Ovis aries: one gene and its partners. The protein of the gene in region 4 interacts with the protein of the main gene of each other region in a biochemical or structural test. Links are inferred from orthologs where the notes say so. Each region holds a gene or a part of one and is shown on either strand. Other genes may lie near its edges. The genes, in order: TRIM24, NRIP1, TADA3, RARA and NCOA6.

The links.
Region 1: the proteins of RARA (region 4) and TRIM24 form a complex in vitro, tested with the Homo sapiens proteins (3 studies listed by BioGRID). The link is inferred for Ovis aries from reciprocal best matches to the Homo sapiens genes RARA and TRIM24.
Region 2: the proteins of RARA (region 4) and NRIP1 form a complex in vitro, tested with the Homo sapiens proteins (4 studies listed by BioGRID). The link is inferred for Ovis aries from reciprocal best matches to the Homo sapiens genes RARA and NRIP1.
Region 3: the proteins of RARA (region 4) and TADA3 form a complex in vitro, tested with the Homo sapiens proteins (2 studies listed by BioGRID). The link is inferred for Ovis aries from reciprocal best matches to the Homo sapiens genes RARA and TADA3.
Region 5: the proteins of RARA (region 4) and NCOA6 form a complex in vitro, tested with the Homo sapiens proteins (3 studies listed by BioGRID). The link is inferred for Ovis aries from reciprocal best matches to the Homo sapiens genes RARA and NCOA6.

What each region holds. Positions count from the first base shown.
Region 1 is NC_056057.1:103,605,849-103,610,131, reverse strand, and holds the start of TRIM24 (transcription intermediary factor 1-alpha), read right to left. Parts: upstream 2,809-4,283; 5' UTR 2,520-2,808; coding exon 2,156-2,519; intron 1-2,155. UniProt on the Homo sapiens protein: Transcriptional coactivator that interacts with numerous nuclear receptors and coactivators and modulates the transcription of target genes.
Region 2 is NC_056054.1:142,920,690-142,924,971, reverse strand, and holds the start of NRIP1 (nuclear receptor-interacting protein 1), read right to left. Parts: upstream 2,814-4,282; 5' UTR 2,473-2,813; exon of another isoform or gene 2,131-2,472; intron 1,854-2,130; exon of another isoform or gene 1,587-1,853; intron 1-1,586. UniProt on the Homo sapiens protein: Modulates transcriptional activation by steroid receptors such as NR3C1, NR3C2 and ESR1. Also modulates transcriptional repression by nuclear hormone receptors.
Region 3 is NC_056072.1:16,898,767-16,902,279, reverse strand, and holds part of TADA3 (transcriptional adapter 3), read right to left. Parts: coding exon 3,462-3,513; intron 3,336-3,461; coding exon 3,230-3,335; intron 1,850-3,229; coding exon 1,708-1,849; intron 1,617-1,707; coding exon 1,513-1,616; intron 1,477-1,512; exon of another isoform or gene 979-1,476; coding exon 904-978; exon of another isoform or gene 1-903. UniProt on the Homo sapiens protein: Functions as a component of the PCAF complex. The PCAF complex is capable of efficiently acetylating histones in a nucleosomal context. The PCAF complex could be considered as the human version of the yeast SAGA complex.
Region 4 is NC_056064.1:40,323,666-40,327,178, reverse strand, and holds part of RARA (retinoic acid receptor alpha), read right to left. Parts: 5' UTR 3,480-3,513; coding exon 3,302-3,479; intron 1-3,301. UniProt on the Homo sapiens protein: Receptor for retinoic acid. Retinoic acid receptors bind as heterodimers to their target response elements in response to their ligands, all-trans or 9-cis retinoic acid, and regulate gene expression in various biological processes.
Region 5 is NC_056066.1:64,069,396-64,072,908, forward strand, and holds part of NCOA6 (nuclear receptor coactivator 6), read right to left. Parts: intron 2,494-3,513; coding exon 1-2,493. UniProt on the Homo sapiens protein: Nuclear receptor coactivator that directly binds nuclear receptors and stimulates the transcriptional activities in a hormone-dependent fashion. Coactivates expression in an agonist- and AF2-dependent manner.

The DNA of each region.
Region 1 (4,283 bases), on a different chromosome or scaffold from region 4:
GAAGGGAGAAAATATTCAAGATATTAAGACTCAACATAGTATTTTTAATTTATTGAAGATAATCCTAACTTTTAGAGATATATGTGGAAGTATCGTTGGTAAGACACCTTCCTCAGTATAAAAAAAACGAAAACATTACCTTACAATTTAAAAGCTTTCCTGAACTCTGGCTTACAATACAAACAAAGATAAAACATATCTGGAGACTGCAACAGTTTGAGAACTTTATAATTGCAAACTTGCCTCAGAATTGAGGATCAGAGCTTTTATTACTCATGTTCTCATTCATTCAGATCTAAATGTCATGCCCTGGAACACAATACATCTTTAATTCTAGAATTATGCAGAATTCAGATCCTAATTGGCTTCTGGTTGTTTTAAACATTTAAAATATAAATAAAAGAAACCCTTAAATGTGTCTAAAAATTAAGAACGAAAATTTAAGTTTCACCTGTACTAACTTTCCAACAGGTGGGCCATGTCAAGAGCAAATTAGGGTGAAGGATCTGAGATTTCTACCCTACTTGCAAACTAACAAAGTATTAGCTTACCATGGAAGCTGGGAGAAGGCATGAGACTGGTGAATCGGAGACAAAGGGCAATTTATTATTACTTCCAGTAATAACATAAGCCAAAGCATCAACACTTTAGCGCACTGGTTCCCAGAGCCCCAGGTTCTCACCTGGCAAGGTGAAGAGGGTCAGTTGACACATGCTTAAGCAACGCAAGCAATGGGCTGTGTTGCAGGAGAGGAAGCCCAAGTTTAGGGAACCCTAATCTTTTATGATGGGCAATAAGCATGCCTGCCTTCTACCCCAGGAGACACTGATCTGTTACCATTGTACCATATGCATGGTTCCTCTTTGCTCTGATGGTAGACACTGTCTCTACCATCCAAGGCTTTTCCTTCTACAAACATCCTTTAAAAACAGAAACAAAGGGCAGGCAGTCAGTACCTCCCCTGGCAAGCTCTGCAGAAACAGCCAGATCCATGGAAAACTGTCTCTCAACTAGACACTGTTTCTAACATATAAATAAATCAAGAGTCTAACACGGCAACCTATTTAAAAGCATCGATTTCATGTGTTCTTTGACCTCGCTCAATTATTTAATTACCAATTTTTCTCTACCTACATCCACTAGTCCCTTTTAAAAAGGCAGTATATGTAAAACCGAATTATTTCCGGTTAGTCTTTTTTTTAAAGAGAGTTGCTCAAATATTCGCCACGTAAACGTTTAAAACCTCAATTATTCTACCACAAGCAATTTACTGTGCTTACTTCAACTTTGTGTTTCAAAACCTGTTAACATTAGCAATGGGACCTACCTGTCAAAAGTCTCATTATACGGTAACAAACACCACAAAGACAACAGTAACTTCAACATTTCCAGCTGCTGTCCACAAAACCCAAGAAAATGCTGCACTCCAAATCACTTTTTCCTATTTGTCTTTACCATTTACCGTCTAGAAACAAAATCTCCCAAAAAGAAGCACCACGAAACACCGTCTCTTAGTTCCTTTGTCCCCATTGGAGAGAACTGATGGCTCATTAAGGTAAATAACCCAAAACATGCAAGACAAAACAAAAAACAGAATCCGATATGTAACCAAAGAAAAGTCCCCACCACCTCATCTTCATCCCTCCCTTCCCCTCGCCAGCTCAAATAACGTGGGTACAGGCGAGATGATTAGTATCACCTGGACAAAGCTGCGGGGAGGCAGAGGGTAGCGGTTAACTAGATGCAGCCGGCAAAGGGCTGGAGATAGACAACAGCGCACTCCAACAGAGGTTTTCAGAAGTACGGGTTGCACGGGCCACGCAGCCCGGAGGAGGAGGCTGGGGGGTGGGGAGGGGGTGGGGAGGGGGTGGGGGGGGGGGGGGGGGGGGGGGGGGGGGGGGGGGGGGGGGGGGGGGGGGGGGGGGGGGGGGGGGTGGGAGCGGCAGCTCGGCCAAGTCCACAGCGCCGGGGGAAGTTGCTCGCGGGGCGCGCGGACGCCGCAGAGCGCGCGAGCCCTGCATGTCACCGCAGCCAGCACAGACCCTCCTCGCCCCTCCCCCGCCGAGCACCCCGGGCGGCGGCGACGTGACAGCGGGTCGCCGCGCCGCCCCGGGGCGCCGGCCTCCTCACCCCACCCCACCCTCCCGCCACTCACCTTGGGTAGCGAACGGCGAGGAGCCGCTGACCGGCGAGCCGGGGGCGGGGACGGGCGGCGGGGTTTCGGCGGAGCCCAGCATGGGCGCGGGCAGCATGAGGTAGCGCTGGGGCGCGGGCAGGCAGCGCTGGCAGAAGGAGTGCAGGCAAGGCAGCAGCTTGGGCGCCCGGCTCTGGATGTTCTGGTGGCACACGGCGCAAGTGTCCAACAGGTTGACCCGGGCCGCCTCGCCTCCGCGCTCCGAGTCAGGGCCCTGGCGACTCTCGGCCTCGTTCTCCCCGCTCGGCGCCGCCGAGGGCCCCCCGGCGGCCGCCGCCGAAGCGGCCGCGGCCGCCGTCGCCGCCTTCTCCACAGCCACCTCCATTGTCCTGCCCCCGCCGCCGCCGCCGCCGCCGCCGGGGAAGGGGGAGCGCGTTCTCTGCCCGCCGCCGCCCGCGACAGACCTCCTTCTCCTCCTCCTCCTAGGCCGCTCCGGTGACCCGCAGGAGAGGGAGGGACGGAGGCTCGGGCCGAGGAAGCCTCCTCAGGCCCCGGGGATCCGCCTCCCGGGTGGCGCGGCCGGAAGAAGAGGATCTGTCAGCGGGGACTGCTCTTCGCATCGGGGAGGCTGCGCCCGGTTCGCTTCGCCAACCGCCGCGGCGCTCGTCAAACCCGCCGAGCCCGCCCTCGCCTCCCTGCCTTTCTCTGGGGCCCGCGAGCCCCACCTCAGGCCACGCCCCCGCCGCCGCCCTCCCTCTCCCAGCAACCGAAGCGAAGGCAGGGAGAGAGCCCTCCTATCGAGTCGCGTCTGGTCGGCGGGCGGGGCCTGCCGAAGCCCGCGAGGCTCAGACAGCCGCGGCTGGAGGCTGGGAGGTGGGAGGGCGCTTGCTCAGCCCCGCCCCTCGAGCTCCGGGAACCACGGCCTCTGATTGGTCCTTTGTGTGTGTTTCGCTCCCGTAGAAAGATTAAGCGTTTATTTGTTAACGATCGACCACATAATTCGGTCCAACTGTGCTAGCTCCTCCTATGGGGAGGGGCTTCACAGTGTTTATCCAAAGCTGTTAATTAACTGCTTCGAAAAACTCTCTATTTACTACTGCGGACCGAGGTCCTGTAGGAGGAGTAAATATGGAGGGGAGGGTCTCAGAATAACGAAGTCGAGTGAGGGAGCAAAGGGAAGAATTTTTCAAAAAGGGAAAATGTTGTGGAAGTAGCATGGATTTTGCCACCTGGATTTACTAATCTCTGTGATAAGAGGGGAGGTTCTTATGAAAGTCCGAAAATTTTAAAGGTTTTCCTCGTGAAAAAGGTGAAATTAATTTTTAAATAAAAGTGATTTGCTTTTTAGGTGAATAAAACTGATTTGTTCTTCAAGGGATTAACGAAGACTGAGTGTTTTATTGCATAAATATGGCATCATTACAAGAAATGGAAATAAATGTCAATACTGATATCCAAATAATTCTAAAATATTCTTTTTCATTTCTCCAAACCCTCACCACCCCTCCGCAAACAAACTTTGATCAGAAGTTACAATATTTTCACTTTAAAAATGGCCAAGCTTTACAAAAGTATAGAAATAGGGTAGGGGAAACGAGCCTCTGTACACATATGATTGTGGAAGTGCCATTTTAAAGAATACATGAAGTGATGCTGCATCTTTGCAGAGAGTAGGATGGGGTCAGAATAGGCTTTGTTAAAATGGAAATGATCCTGTTGTGTTAGAGAAATAGTAAGTAGCCAAGATGGTGGTAGTCAGGCTCTCTTGCCCTACTTTGTGTGAAAAACAACTTTGCATGGTTATGTAACAACTGAGATAATCTATAACAATGCACACGTGCATTGTGATGCAATAGCTTGTCAAATTGCCACCTTTATTTCTGTATACCAATATTAAGCCCACCTGAAACATCCCTTGCTGCTGCGTCAGCCGCTGCAAATAAAGCATGTCTGCAGTTCCTATGGCTTCTCGCATTTTCTTCCAGCTTTGTTGCTCGCACCTTGCCTACCCTGGATTCAGTGATCAGCGAAACAGTTGGCATAGTGGGCAGGATACCTAGCAGGAAGGGAAGCCTGAGGCTCCAATAGATGGAGGAAGCCAGTGGCCACGGCGTATCATGTGGTACTTGGTCGGCGTGGTCCTCTCGGT
Region 2 (4,282 bases), on a different chromosome or scaffold from region 4:
AAACGCTGGGCAAAACCAGAGCAACTTACTTCAAAGCTGAAAACATTTCAACATACTCCAGGCAGCAACCCACACTTTGGTGCCAGGCAGAGGAAGCACCATTTGTTTAAAAAGTCCACTTATCTCACTGTGTCTTCAACAACAAAGGTGGCAAACTAGTGATTAAGCATTGAAGAATCACATCGGGAAGATGCCACCCACTTGCTAAAGTCATGATTCTCTAATAAGCAGGTTCAATGCAATTCATAACTTTAAAGAATGAATTACCAGAGCCCTCTGCTTCACAAATCACTCCCTCACCAAACGTAAAAAACAACCATCATCTGTAACTCCACAACCATTTTTCACTTTCATCCTATGGACTCTGTTCCTCTAAGAACAGTACCCCCTCCCCAACCCCTCCCCCGCCCCGCACAATTTCACATTTAATCATTTATATTACCGGAGACAAACTCCAACTCAGTTCCACCAACTGAGTGAAAAGTCCCTGTGGCTAAGAACGTATTACTTCTTTTTCAACATAAAAACGCCTTATTGAAATTTTTTTTTTAAACACAAAAGTACTTCTGTTGTCCGTCTACTATCTTCAAAACTCAATTCAATAACGAGATAGAAGGTAAAAACTCCTATAATACTTCAGAGATCAACATGTGTCACAGACTCGCAGACTGTTCGCCTCTAAGACATAGTTGATTCCTTTGTTCCTCCAGACGGAACAGCAACTCTTGATTAAAATTTGGAAAACTACTTTGGAAGGGTTGTGACGGTTTGCAGAATATTTCCCGGGAAACCCTTCATAAGACAATATCCGCTAGTAGTAGAAGAGGACACATAGATGTAGGAGAGAAAAACGAAGCCTCCCAGGACCTGCACGGGGTTCACTCTAGAGGTGAGCCCGGTTTTCTGGCTCCGGAGAAAAGTGATGGTTGAGGCCTCGGGTCCCAGGGGCCTCGCCCTCGGGAGGGGAAGGACACGTACCAACGGGCCTGGCTGGACCCGAGGGTCGGCTAGGGGCCGGGAGCGCGGTCCCCTTGCCTACCCACTTTCCCCAGTCCGGGATCCGGCCAGCTCAGAGCAGGGAGGCACCCGGGCGAGAGGCGGGGGGAGCTGCGCCCGGCGCCGCCCAGGACGCCCGGGGCAGCAGGACTGAGAACGGCGCGACGAGAAGCGCCCGGGGCTCCGGGCCGAGGAGGACAGCCGAGCGGGGGCGCGACCCCGGCCCGGGTCCGGGGCAACACGGCGGCCGCCCTCCCGTCCCCGGCCCAGGACGGCCAAGAACGCGCCGGTGAGCCCCCGGGCCAACTCCACAACTTGCCGGCCCCGCTGCCCGGGCCCCCCGAGTTCCCGGGCAGGTTCGGAGCCGGCAGGAGAGGCGGGATTTGCCCGGAAGCCGTCCCCCTCCGCCGAGCTCACCCCGCCGTCCGCGTCCGCTCCCGCCGCCCCGCAGCGCGGGCCCCCCGCCGCCCCGACGCCCCCCGAGGCCCTGCCCGCCAACGCCAAGCCAACGCCGCCGCGGGCCGCGCTCCCGGCCATTTCCGGCGGCGGCGGCCGCTCGTCCGAGCCCCCCGGCCGCGGCCGCCACTCACCCGAGGCCGCCGCAGCTCCGAGCGCCGGGGCTCCGGCCAGCTCACTCCGCGAAGGCGCCCCGCCGCCCCGTCCTCCCTCGGCGCCCCGGCGAGCTCTTCCCTGCGATCGGCAGCGCTGCCGGGCGCAGCGGCCGCCGCGAGGCCACGGGCGGGCGCGCGGGCGAGCGCGGGGCCGGGTCGTCCCTCCGCCTCGGCCGCCGCCGCCGCGCCGCCTCCTCCTCCGCCGCCGCCGCCGCCTCCCGAGTTCGGGGCTCTGCTGCAATGTCTGCGAGGCTGACTTTGAGCGCCTCGCTCGCCGCCTGCCTGCCCGCCCGCCCGCCCGCAGCCGCGCTCCTCCCTCCGCCGCCGAGGCGGCCGCGGCCCAGTCCCTCCCCTCGCCGCTCCACGCCATTCAGCTCTTCAGCCAAGTTTCTTAACCCTTTTTTCCCCCTCTCTTCCATTGTCACCGGGGCGGCAGGCACGCGCTCGGGTCCCGGAGGCTCGCGGGAACTGCGGGGCCCCCTCGGTTGGCTGGTTTTCCTCCTCGCCCGCCCTCCGGCCGGCCGGGCGGGGGCTGCGGGCGCCCCGAGGCAGCTGGAAGAGCGCGGCGGCCGGGAGAGGTGGGTGCTCCAGGCGCCCCGAGCCCTTCCCCGCGGCTCCCAGCTCTGTCCAGCAGCCCCCACCGCCGCCGAAGGCGCCGGGACAGCTCCTCCTGGGGCTCCCGGGGGGGTGGGGACCACTCTCGTGACCCAGGCCAAAAGCCCGCGAAGGGGGCTCAGCCTGGGGGTCGGGACGCCCCGGGTCCCTTCCTGGGTGCCGGCATCTTAGGCTTCCTTCTCCTCCCACTTCACCCCACGACCCGTGTCTCCTGGGCTCCCTCTCGCCCACCCCCCCCAACTTCCACCACCTTGTAATCTGTGTGTCTTGCTTTAGTCTGGCCGGGGGTGGGGGGGGCTAACTGCGGGTCCCTCTGATCCCGCGCCCTGCACGTAGAAGGCACCCAGGGATAATCGGCGGGTGAGTCCGAGAAGAAAACTGGGAAGGAGACCTGAGGAGCGCCGGGTTCAGCTCCTCGGACGGGAGCAGGGTTTATCTTCTGCTGCTTTGTCACTGCGAAGTCTCCAGCGGAGCCGTTCCTCGAATCGACACCGTCCTCGGACCGAACCTGACCCTCCAAGACAAGGCAGAAGGCACCCAGCTGCCACTTCTCGGGCAGCTCTCCGCCGGTTCAGGCTCCGAGTAAGAAATAACAATTACATCACGAGGCCGGGGCGGCAGCCCCGGAGAGCCTCCTGGTTTCCTGCAGCCTGATCTCCCTGAACCCGCCTCTAAATTGGGGGGGATACGGATTGGTGAAGAGAGAAAGTGGAGGGAGGAGAGAGTCATCCGAAACCATCATTTCCCCCTTCTCCGTGTATTTGCTGTTTTAAAATCTTATCCTCAAGGCTCTCCCCAAACATCAAGCTAGAACTATTAACACCCCCGCAACACCTCCCCAGATGTCAGGTTTCTTTTTGACTCTAGCATCTAGCATTTAGTAACTCGCCATGAAAAAGAAAAAGAAAAAAAAAAAAATTGCCAGGGGAAATGAGGACCGTTGCAGAAATTGTTTTTGCTTGCTGCAAAAACGCTGAAGTACAGCTTAGGCTCACTGTAAACTCCGAAATGGCATGCCTGTGTTTAAACACTTATTACACAAAACAAGTGAGTGGATAAGACACTCCATTCCTATGTGTAGGTTTTCAGATCCTTAAGGATTCGACAGCATTTTAAAATAAAGTTGCTAGTGCACTTAAAAAAAAAACACAAAACTATCCAAGTCATAGAACAGTATTCTATGCCTGTTATGTAATGGTTGTGTTGTGCGTGTAAAATGTCATTTAACCTTTAAAAATATGAATGAGGATTCGGGAACACCTTCACAGTCTTAAAAGGGAAAGCGATATTTCAGAAGAATGCTTAATAATACAGCACCTAGCACAGTGCTGGGCACATGGCAGGAAGATTTTTCTTCATGGTGATAGTGCATTTTAGAACAATTATTTTACATCACCCTAGTGATTTCAACTGTGCGATCTGTTGCCATCTTATATATTTAAACCTCATATGAGAGCTTATTATTTGTATCTACCACCATTTGAAATCTGTTCAAGGCAGCTTAGTAAAGTCCACTGTTCTGCATGACAACATTTATCCAGGATTGATTCAGAGCCAACTGTTTGAATTAAGTGATAGGCAGCATTATTGGAGTGTGACCCTTTAAGGAATCAAACTAATTTTCTTTAAAACTGTTGTACAAAGATTTTCTGAAAACGTATTATAAATGTTTCTATTTTCTTAAGCCATTTTTTGGCTTTTTCTTGAAAATTCAGAGTTAATTTTGATAGTAGGTTATAATGAATTTAAGGACTACATCAATTTCCTGTTCTCTATCAAGCTCCTTCCTAGGAGTCAGGGATGCTCCCAGGATGAATAGAAGCCATCAGTCCTCTCCCTGAAGGACTCCAGGATACTATGATCCAGTGATCATCTCTGTCTTTCATAGTTGCTCTCTCTCCCCCTTCCCTAACTAACAATCTTTTCTCTCTTTTGCCAGGGTTCCTGTCTCTAACATTATCCTCCTCTTCTGATTGGCAACTGCTAGTCTGGTGCAGACTGAGATTCCAGATAGCCTCATTTGTCACCATTCAGTCTAAAGTAAAACAAAATAGTGCCAT
Region 3 (3,513 bases), on a different chromosome or scaffold from region 4:
CAGAGGAAGAAAGAGATGTAGTATTACCATTTCCTGCTTCCCTCTGACCTACATGGACAGTCTTCACATACCAGAAATCTTTTCTTCTTCGCATTCCACCCACTCTGGGAAGTTTTCCCAAACTGGCTCCAAAAAGCTTTGATCATTTTATAAATTCTTGTTTTTGTACTGATACAAAAGGGAGCACAGAAGAGTGATGGTAACATTCAATAGCAGTAATGAGAAGAACTAGGGCTCGTTAAGCATTTGCAGTGCACCAGGGGCTGTGCTAGGCACACGGTACTGAGCACAGGGGCTGTACCATAGCAGAGGTTGCTGGCTGTCCGAAAGCCATTCTCGCCTTTCCTCCACAGGAGCTGGGCTAATGGCTGCCCAGATGAACCCCACTTCCCAGCCTCCCCTGTAGTCGGGGTGGTCATGTGACAAATACTCTCCAATGGAAAGTGATTAGAAGAGATAAGAGCCATAGCCAGCGGGATCTTCACACACTCCTCCTTGCTCTTTTTCTGTGGGCTGGAGTGCCAGTCACATTTGGAGTGATCCTGTGCAGAGCGCATGTTTACAACAGCAAAGTGGGCTTCCCTGGTGGCTCAGTGGAATGCAGGAGACACAGGTTTGATTCCTGAACCAGGAAGATCCCACATGCCGCAGAGCAACTAAGCCTGGGCACCACAACTACTGAGCCTATGCTCTAGAGCCCGGGAGCTGCAACTACTGAGCCTGTGCGCCCCAGAGCCCCTGCTCCACAACAAAAGAAGCCACTGCAATTACAAGCCCAAGCACCCCAACTAGAGAGTAGCCCCTGATCGCCACAACTAGAGAAAAACCTAAGCAGTAACGAAGACCCAGCACAGCCAAAAATACATATATACATTTTTTTAAACAATTAAAAAGCCAGCAAACCTGGGGTCCCTGTCTGATGGTGTGGAACAGAGATCTCCCCCAGCCTCCACTGATCTGGAACATGTGCCCAGAATGCTACATGGGAGAGAAAGAGGCTATTGTGTTTGAGCCAGAGGGAAAACTGAGGCTCATAGGTGAAGAAACATGGCTTGGGATAGCCAGTGGGCATAAAGAAAGGGCACCTGAACCTGGTGTTTGAAGCCTGCTTCCGCTTGTTAGCTGTGTGATGTCAAGCAAACAGTTCCCTTTTTTGAGCCTCAACCTTGTTTGGTGTAATGTGGGGTTAACCACTATCTGCCTTTAACAAGAGGATGTGTAGAAAGCCCTTTGCACAGGGCCTTTCACTAATGCTCCACAAAAGTAACTGTGGAATAGTGGCTACCCTGGAGGTGGGGGAGGTTAAACACTGGGAGGGGCATGAGAGGGCCTTCAAGGATACTGATGATGTTTTATTTTGTGATCTTGGGACTAGTTGTACAAGGCTGCTCATTTGTGAAAATCGATCAAGCTGTACATTTATGACCTATGTACCTTTCTAAATATATACTTCAATAAACAAACATTGAAACAGAATGATAGTGGTTTCTGTTTTGCATTGGGGGTACTCACCTCCACCAAGGCCTGCAGCAGACGCTGTGTCAGGGCACCAAAGGGACACCCGTCTTCTGGCTGCTCATGCTGGGCCTCAGACTTCTTCAGCAGGGCATCCACATCTGAATTGGGCAGACACATGGTAGACTCGTGGGCTGAAGTTCTGGGAACTCAAGTCCTAGCCTGGGGTGGGCAGGGAGGTGAGGGACTTACCTTTAGTGTCCAGTTCGGTCAGGGGCCCCAAGAGGCCTTTCTTCTTGTCAGCCACAGCTGCTGCCCGGGCCCCGTCCTTCTGCTCCTCCAGCAGGTCCTCCTGTGCCCAGCGCTGGGAGTAGTGCTTCCCTAGGGGCGGGATCTGTGGGAGACATCCCACCCAGCCCCAAAGAGATAAATACAGCCAGCAATGCCTGGGGTGTGGCAGGGTCTCTTTGTGCACTTGGAAGTGCCAACAGGCTCTTCGCTCACCCTCCTTCCTTCATTTATGTCTCCCAAGTATCTAGTCCAGGGTTGAGGCCTGAGGCTCAGGTGAGAAGAGATACAGGAGAGAAAAATCTCTACACTCACAGTTTAGTAGAGAAGCCAGGTACATAAACAACTAAAACACACAGAAGGCAATACAGGAAAATTTCCATGATGTAACGTGCAGAATGGTGTGTGTACACAGACAATATCAGTTGAGAGCTATTATCTCTCGAAAGAACTACAGGCCTTCAGGTCAGAAATGAGAGAAATAGCTTATGCACTGCTTGAACTTGTGACTGCCCATATAGATTACCTTTTCAAATAAGTTTTTTAAAAACTCAGACAAGTGGAGTGACAGAGTAGGTTAAGGTGTTGTGGCAGTGCAACAGACAGACCAACCTTCTGCTGGAAAACCTGCAAAACCATTTTGGTGCAGGTAACGTGCAGTAAGGGACTCGAAGGGTGTTAGTTTGCCAAGGGGAGATTGGCATGTACAGAGGCCCAGAGACCAGAAAGGACCTTGTGTGAGCTTGGAGTGAGGGTAAGGTGCTTGGTGGGGCTGGCAAATAATAGCAGTAAAGAGGTGGTGTGGCCAAGGACACTGTGCTACCAAGGACTGAAGCTTGGACCTGAGTCTGTGGGCAATGGGAGCCACACAAGGCTGTTATAAGCACCTCTGATCATGATAGCGAACCTATGGGAGAATTCCCCTCCAACATTTTTCTGTATTTTGTACATTTTCTTTAACGGAACCTCTTTTATTTTCATCATAAAAACTAAAAATAAAAAAACTTCTATACATTACAAAAAAAAGAGAGAGAGGAACTTCCATGGCGGTTCAGTGGTGAAGACTGCTCACTTCTACTGCAAGGGGTGCAGGATTGATCCCTGGTCAGGGAACTAAGATCCCACATGCTACCTGGTGCATCCAATTAAAAAAGCAGAGAAGAGAATCCCTCTAGAGGCAAGCAAGTGTTAAGAGGCTGTAAAGGGAAAAGCTGATGAATTTTTGAGCCAAAGCAAAGGGGATGACAGAGACAAAGGGAGGACTGCACTGAAGAAGATGCCTTAGGATGTGGCAGGGTAGAAGGGAGGAAGCTGAAAGCTAGAACCTGGGCGTCTAAGTGAGTTAATGGAACTGTCAGGAGGCTGGGGAGAGAGAAAAAGGAAGATGATATATAGCTCTGTTAATTGTGAGGCATCTCTGAGCCCTCTTGTTCTCCATCATGTCCAAGATGTTTCCATCTTGTCTCATCATGCCTGGGGTCTTCACCTTGTAATGTTCAGCCTCATCTTCTGGGGGTTTCAGTAGCTCCTCTAGTGTGCGCACTTCCTCACTGGTGATATCAGCACAGTATGGCTCCACCGAAGCCCAGAATCTGCAGGGAGAAGCAGAGCCTGAGGGGGTGCCCCCTGCCCCCTGCCCCACCAGCCTCAGCCCCAGGCCTCTCCACAGCCTCCAGTGCCCAAATCCCAAGGCCCATCTATGTTCCCGGGCCCAGAACCTGTTGGGGGCGTCATTCTTGGGGATACGTGGCACATCAATTGGGTCGTCAG
Region 4 (3,513 bases):
TCAGCTCAGCCACGTAACCACCAGCGCTGTTTCCTCAGGTGTAAAGGGAGATAATGTCCCTCTCCCAGATTGTCGGGATTCAGATTTGTAAAACAGAGATAAGGTCCCAGGCACACAGTGGGCGCTCCACAGATGTTAGCATCCCATTCTCTCCAGCTCCCACCCAGAAAAGGGTCACGATCCTCTTCCCGTCATAACACCCGGGTACCACGAGACAGCCATGAGCGCATGCAAGACCAGGAGCAGAGTGCATTACGTCGGCGATCTTGCCTAACCTCAGCCGTCTGAGGGAGGTTCTGCTTAGATCCCTGTTTTACAGACGAGGAAACACGCTCGGAGAGGTTGTCACACTTAGTAAATGGCAAAGCCAGAACTCAAGCTACACAGCCTACTCCACAGCAACCCCTCCTACCTCATGGAATTCCCAGGGCAAGCAATAAAAAAAGGCAGGTGCGTTTCCTCTCCAGCCTAGACTAGCGATAAGAAATAGAGACCCTTCCCCCTCCAAACACACAACACAATCACAGACCCCTCCCCCTTACACATTCAGTGCCCTAAGTCACCTCCCCCTGCAGCACACAAACACATTGATACCCCTCCCGACTCTGGATCTGATTCTCCTCAAACACACTCTGACCCTCTCACCCAATACTTTTAAGCCATTGACCCCCTCCCCAGCACACACCCAACCTTGACCTCCCCACCCCTAAAACACACCCAACCCTCACCTCCCTCCCAAAACACACACAACCATCACCCTCCCCACAAGGCACACAGAATCCCAAGCCTCCACAGTAAATACCAGTCCTCAAGAGACCAAACCTCCAGGACTGGTTTGGAGGGGGAGATCTCGTACCATCCCTGGAACTTCCCACTCTGGCTTCCCGGGAGAGAGAGATAACAGCAGGACAAATACCCACCCGTCGCCACTGACCTAGAGAACAGTTCTGTCCTTCCACAGGCCACTGAGTCTCTGAAGCACACCCAGGGTCCAGCCTCCCCCCACCCCAGCTTGGCGAGAGGGATGGAAGGATGGACAACACCTTTGTTGGCGGCAAGTGGGAGGAGGGGGCCTCCTGTGCCAGGCTGCCTGCAGAATGGGTGGCAGGGGACCAGAACATATAATCACTCCTGGTGGGGATGGGGGCCACAGCTGTCCACCCTCCTGGGAAATGCCTGGCCCCCAGCACTGGCCCTCAGGTGGGGGGAGTGAGGCTGCCTCCAGGTCTGAACTTTGATTTGTCATGCTGCACTACGCAGAGCTGAAAGCCAGGGTTACCAGGTCCCACAGCCTTCCACGAGAAAGAGGGAGATGCCTGGCTCCCTCAGGGTGGATGGGGAGGTTCCTGACCTAAGGGGAAGGAAGGTCAGGGAGAAGCTCAGAAGCTGGGGGTCTGGGTAAAAAGAGGTGTTGTTGTTTACTAGGAAGAGGCAGGGAAACCCACTGGCTCACAGAGGGAGGGGGGCAGGAAGGGGCATTGCTTAACCAGAAATGTGGGCACCCCACCCTGGGGGAAGAAGGTTACCAGGGTAGGAGGTGGGGTACCCGGAAACCCTCCCCACCCACCTCGAAGAAAGAGGAAGAAGCTTGCAACATTCGAAAAGGAGAGCAAAACACTCGCTTGTCCGGCACAAGACAGGGGTCAGGCCAGCCCTCCGTGAGCCAGGCCCCAGGGGGACAGCGTCCAGGGCCCTGTTCCCAATCACCTGGGGAAGAGCAAGCTGTCCACCAGCACCAGGCTGAGCGCTCTCGGTTTCTCCCTCCCTAAAAACCCCACCCTGGCGGGAAGCAAGACACTCTAGTTCCTGGAACTGGGATGTGAACTCCAGTTCCCACACAGATCCCAGGCACCCCAGACCCACTTGCCCCTTCTCCAGCATCCCCTAACTCAGAGATTGGCCTCTCCCATCACCGAGCACAGACTGAAGACCAGGCCAGAATCATTCTGACTCCCAGGTCATGATGCTGCCCGCTGTGCCCCCTCCATGGGAGGAAACAGAAGGTGAGGTTTGAGGAGGCAGCATCCGCCTGCCCCCTTCCCCGGGGCACAGAGGGTAGGGACCGAAAGGAACACAGACTTAGAGCCCCTGCTCTCAGCGGCTGGTGGGGCTGGAGAGGGAGGGGGCCACCGAGCAAGCCAGAGGAGGCGAGCCAGGAAGCAGTGGTGGCGGTGGGCAGCCGGCCAGTGCGGGCAGTGAGGCGCCCAGCCAGGGCCTGCCCCAGGGACAAAGAGACTCCCTGGCTCCGGGGAGAGTGCGCTACCCCCAAGCTGGGAAGGGGGCACTGACCCAGCCCAGCCAGGCGCACAGGGCAGCGGTGCCAGGCAGCTTGCCAGTGGCATGGGAGAGGCGGTGGGTGCCCAGGGCAGGCTGTTCAGTCCCTGCCTGCCAGGAGAGGTGGGACACGTTTCCCAGGTCAACAGCTGACCGGCCAGGCCAGTCCGCCGTCCATGGCCCCCTTCTACGGCTTCCACCCCCTCCTGCCCCAGGCCAGGCCCCGGCTCCCTCCTCCCCCAAACCCTGGCCTGGCGCCCAGCTGGGCCCTGGGGGCCAGAGTTACTGTAAGCCGCCTGGCAGGACCGAGGCCTGGACTCTGCCAGCTGGCCTCAGTGCCGCCACCTCCCACTACCTGGCTCGGCCAGCCAGGGAAGGGTACCGAGACCCCCACCCAGCCAACAGGCGACCCCCCATGGCAGACGGCGGAGGCGGAGAGAAAACACAGGCCCTGCCAAGAGCAGGCCTGCGGCCACAGCCAGAGTCCAGGCCTGTGTCCCCTCCCGGACTCTCCCCCCATCCCCAGGCTGCCTGTGGGGCCCTCTCCTGCCCCGGCGCCCTCCCCACAAAGGGAAGCACCACCCCGCCTGGCCAGCAGTGAGGGGAGGGGGTGCTACTCCAGTCCCTTCTCTCAGAGGCACTGGATGGGGTGGGCTGGAGGTGGGGTGCTGTTCTCAGCAGACCAGCCATCCCCACCAAATGTCGAGAGGTTTGTTTACCCAACTCCAGCCTCCTTGTCCAGTGCTTGGAGCTATTTATAAGGCCCTCAACGGCAGAGCACATGAGGGGGCGCGAGGGGCCAGAGGACAGCATTGTCTCAGCTCTCCACACTCCGTGCCACCTCCCAACAAAAAACACAACCACGGCGATTAGCCTACTGGCCTTTCATCCTCAAGCCCGCTTGTCCAGCAGGTCCCCCCCGTCTGGAGGAGACCTGGCCGCTGAGGAAGAGATGTGCCCAGAGGCCCAGCCTTGGGCCTGCCGCCCTCCACAGCCCCCTCCCACAACACTCCCCGACCCCACTTACTGGCTGGGGATGGCGTGCTATAGCCGCTCACTGGAAGCTGGTGCTGGAGAGTGGTCAGAGCGCCTGGGGGGGAGAGTCCACCCAGCATGGGGGGGAAGAAGAAGGCGTAGGGGGGCACCGGGTACCCATTGAGGTGCCCTCCCCCAGGTGTTGGGCAGGAGCTGCTGTTGCTGGCCATGCCAGGCGGCCACAGTCAGAAGCACAGGCAGACA
Region 5 (3,513 bases), on a different chromosome or scaffold from region 4:
GGCTTCGCCGGTTGACAGAGGAGCCTGGACTATTGGTCAAAAGGGGAGAAACCACTGTGGTTGTCTGTGAAGAGGGCAGAGTGCTTTGATCTGCTGAGGTGCTCACCTGAGGGCTAGTCTCATCTGGATTCAGTTCTTTTACTTGCTGGACAGGGGGGTGAGGAGGAACAACTGGAGAAGTTGTACAAGGCGGGGAAGGAAGCTGAACAGGGGTGGCTCTTGAGTTAAGGACCAAGGGTCGACCTGTCTGTATGTTTGGAGCAGGACTACTGGTGGGGGCATTAGGCAGCACAGGAGCAGAAGAAAATTTTATATTCTGAGGTATGTGTAAAGGGCCAACGACTGCAACAGAGGGAGGCATCAAGCCAGAGTTGGTTGTCAGCGGGGCTGCAGGAATTGTGCTTGGCTGTGATCCTTTCATAACCTGAATTATTGAGGATGAATTGATAAAGACAGGCGTAATGAACTGAGGCCGGGCATTTGACTGAGCAGCTGACTGTCCCTCAGAAACCATAACCTTGTTACCCACATTGGGCATTGTGACAACTGTTGACATTAATGCAGACTGCAGGTGAGTTGGCAGAGCTGCTGATGTGTTCGCTGAAGTTGTAATGGGATTGGAAGTCACGAAAACAGTTATCTGATTTGGGGGCAAAGGAGTGGAAATGGAGGAAGAGCTGACAGGTCTTGACATTACTTGAGGGATGCTTGGGGTGACATTAGAACTGACCTCACTCAATTCTGGATGCACAAGGGTTGAACACGGCTCGTTACTGTGAGGTAAATTTAGGGAACTGGAGGGTTCTTTAGAAGACGGATCCTGCAGGGAGGGAATGACAGATGCTTTTTTTGGGTCCTCTCCAGACACTCCTGGAGGTGTTACTTCCAGATCTGTAAGCCCGGGGGGTTTAATAGTCACGTTAGGAGCTCCAGAGTTGTCAAGAAGTTGACTTAGCGATGTTGGTGCTTCCCTCATAGCAGGAGACACCAAATTTTTGTTCTCTTCGACATTGGGAGGTTTGTTAGGATCCAAAGGCTGCCCATCCTTTTTGCATTGATCTTCAGGGACAACCATTTTCACTTCTTGGGGAGGGACTGCTTTTAGCTCAATGTTTATCTGCTCCTTCCTAACCTGGGAATTCTGGCAATCACTGTCCTGTGGCATATTCAAGCTCTCCTTGTTATCCTCCAGAACACCCCCTATCGTGGCCACAGGCATGGTAGGATTCTGAGGATTCAGCCCACTGTTGTTAGGGAAGCTCCCAGGTACAGGCGGATTGGCCAAAGGAGTAGGACTAACCAATACATTTCTTGGCAGCTCTACATTTTGCAACAACGTTGCATTTGTTTGAGAGGCAAGTGTAAGTTTAGGGGCTTTCGAATTCTGTCTCCCAGGACTTGGGGTGGTTTTCCTACTTGACCCAGGACTAGACCTGCGGCTGTTGCTTGGACTTGCCCGTTTTGGTGCTCCAGAATTAGACTGCTTTCCAGAATTCACCACCACAGAATCTAATTTGTGAGTCTGTGGGGCAGCAAAATTGGAAGGATTATTCATGGTAAGGTTTGAAGGTGCTTGCCCGATGGCCTTCAAAGTTGTCGGATTTAGGCCCTGTTGATCAAAGCCCCTGTTTAAATTTGGCCTGGGAGGTAAAGGAATATTAATCTGTGGGGGGAAGAGTCCTGCTATGGAGGCATTGAGTCTTTCCGGTGATAGACTGATTTCTGAAGGTTCCGTGCTAGGAGGGCGGTTGTTGGGTGTCTGGGGATAATAGGGTCTGGGGCTGGCTCTGTTGGGTGTTTTAGGCCTAGATGTTTGGGTGGGAGCAGCCACATTTGGAAAGTGGTGGCCATGAGAGCTGGGCAGGGAATTTACAGGAGGTTGCTGGGGAGTTGCACCTTGAGTTGCTGAAAGCGGTGATGGTCCAGGTTTTGGCCCTGTCATCATTAACTGATTCTGGGAGACCACTAAATGTGGAGGCATATTATTTGGGCCTCCTGAGACGGACGGTCCTTCACTGCCACTTGCTTCTGGGAGCGAGGACATCTCCCCCAGTGGTGAGCTGGCAGGGTTCTGGGGGTTCTCCTGGTACATCATTTTCCTTGAAGTGCTTCCCAGAGGAGTAGTCACAGGCATTGGCATTCTCTGCTTGTCAGGTGACGGGGGCACTGAGGCAGGGCCTTGCAGGCTGACCATGACAGGCACGCCGCCGCTCGGCTGCGCGGGCACTCTCTGGGCGTCCGGGGTCAGCGGGCCCCTGGGGGGGTGGGCACTCTGGGGGACCGGAAGCCTGGCGGGCTTGGGGTCCTGCTGCAGCATGAGCATCATCATCATCTGCTGCTGCTGCTGCTGCTGCTGCTGCTGCTGAGACTGCGGCTGGCTGGGAGGTGGCTGCGGCTGCTGCGGTGGCGGCTGTGCTGGGGGTGCCACATGCTGCACGAGCTGAGGAGGCAGCTGCTGAAGTGGCCTCTGTTCAACTGGTTGAGAAGGATAACCTAAAACGAGCCCCCAAAATCAGGGAAGTTAGACTTTCAGCAAGAAAAGCTTTGTGACCTTTAGGGTATGGCCAAGCAATCCTCATCTAGGTGGCACAAATAGCTCAGGCATGCCCGTTTCCAGGGGGGTAAGGGGCGGCCCTTCCTTCTCTGGCATAAGCAAAGAGGCACGCTGCTTCAGGAAGCAAAAAGCAAAGCATCGAGAACCTGGAGCTCCTCAGTCTTCAGGGTTTGCATGAGGCATCACTGTACTAAGACTCTAACAGGCACTGCGCTATGCACTGAAACTGGCCAAGTCTATGCCAGCCTCACATTCAGATGAAATGAGGACAACTCCATCAACAGCACACGGATGACCACCCAGTACTGGGCTCTCATGCAGGCATAATGAACATTTCACTGGATTTGTGAATGAAGCATTTAAGATTCACTTTTTTTCTTTTAGCACAGATTAATTTTTTTAAAGACTTGGTTTTGTTGAAAATACCAGCATTGAAGATAGCCTTTTTATTCCTTCAACAGAAGTAAAATATAAAGTTCTAGGGTTCAATTCCTTAAGAAAGAAGGATTTAAAATCACTTCAATCCATTGACTTCACACACCATGCTGCACCCTCCAGGCTCGCTTCTTTGGGAAACCCAGTGAATTAAACTGTCTCTCCAACGTAAGTCAGTTTAATAAATAGTAGGAGCTAAATAGAAGCTGATACACACACTGAAAATAAAATGAGGGCACTGAAGTTCTTTTTACAAATGCTAATTTCCATTTACTTTTTTACATGTCAAACTGTATTTGGAGAAATACTGTCTTTGAATCCATAAGTGGAGAATAAGTGAGCCAAGAAGCATAGCCCTCAGGAATAAAAAATAACTTTGGGAAAAGAAGTCTGAGGACAATGCCTTATAGATTCCTAGAAGGCGACATCTCAAATGATTCCTTCTTTTGTGAAGATTTTATTTGCATTTTAGAACCAAAACCTTACATAATCAGCAGAAAGGACCAAGAATAAAGGTGGTTCAA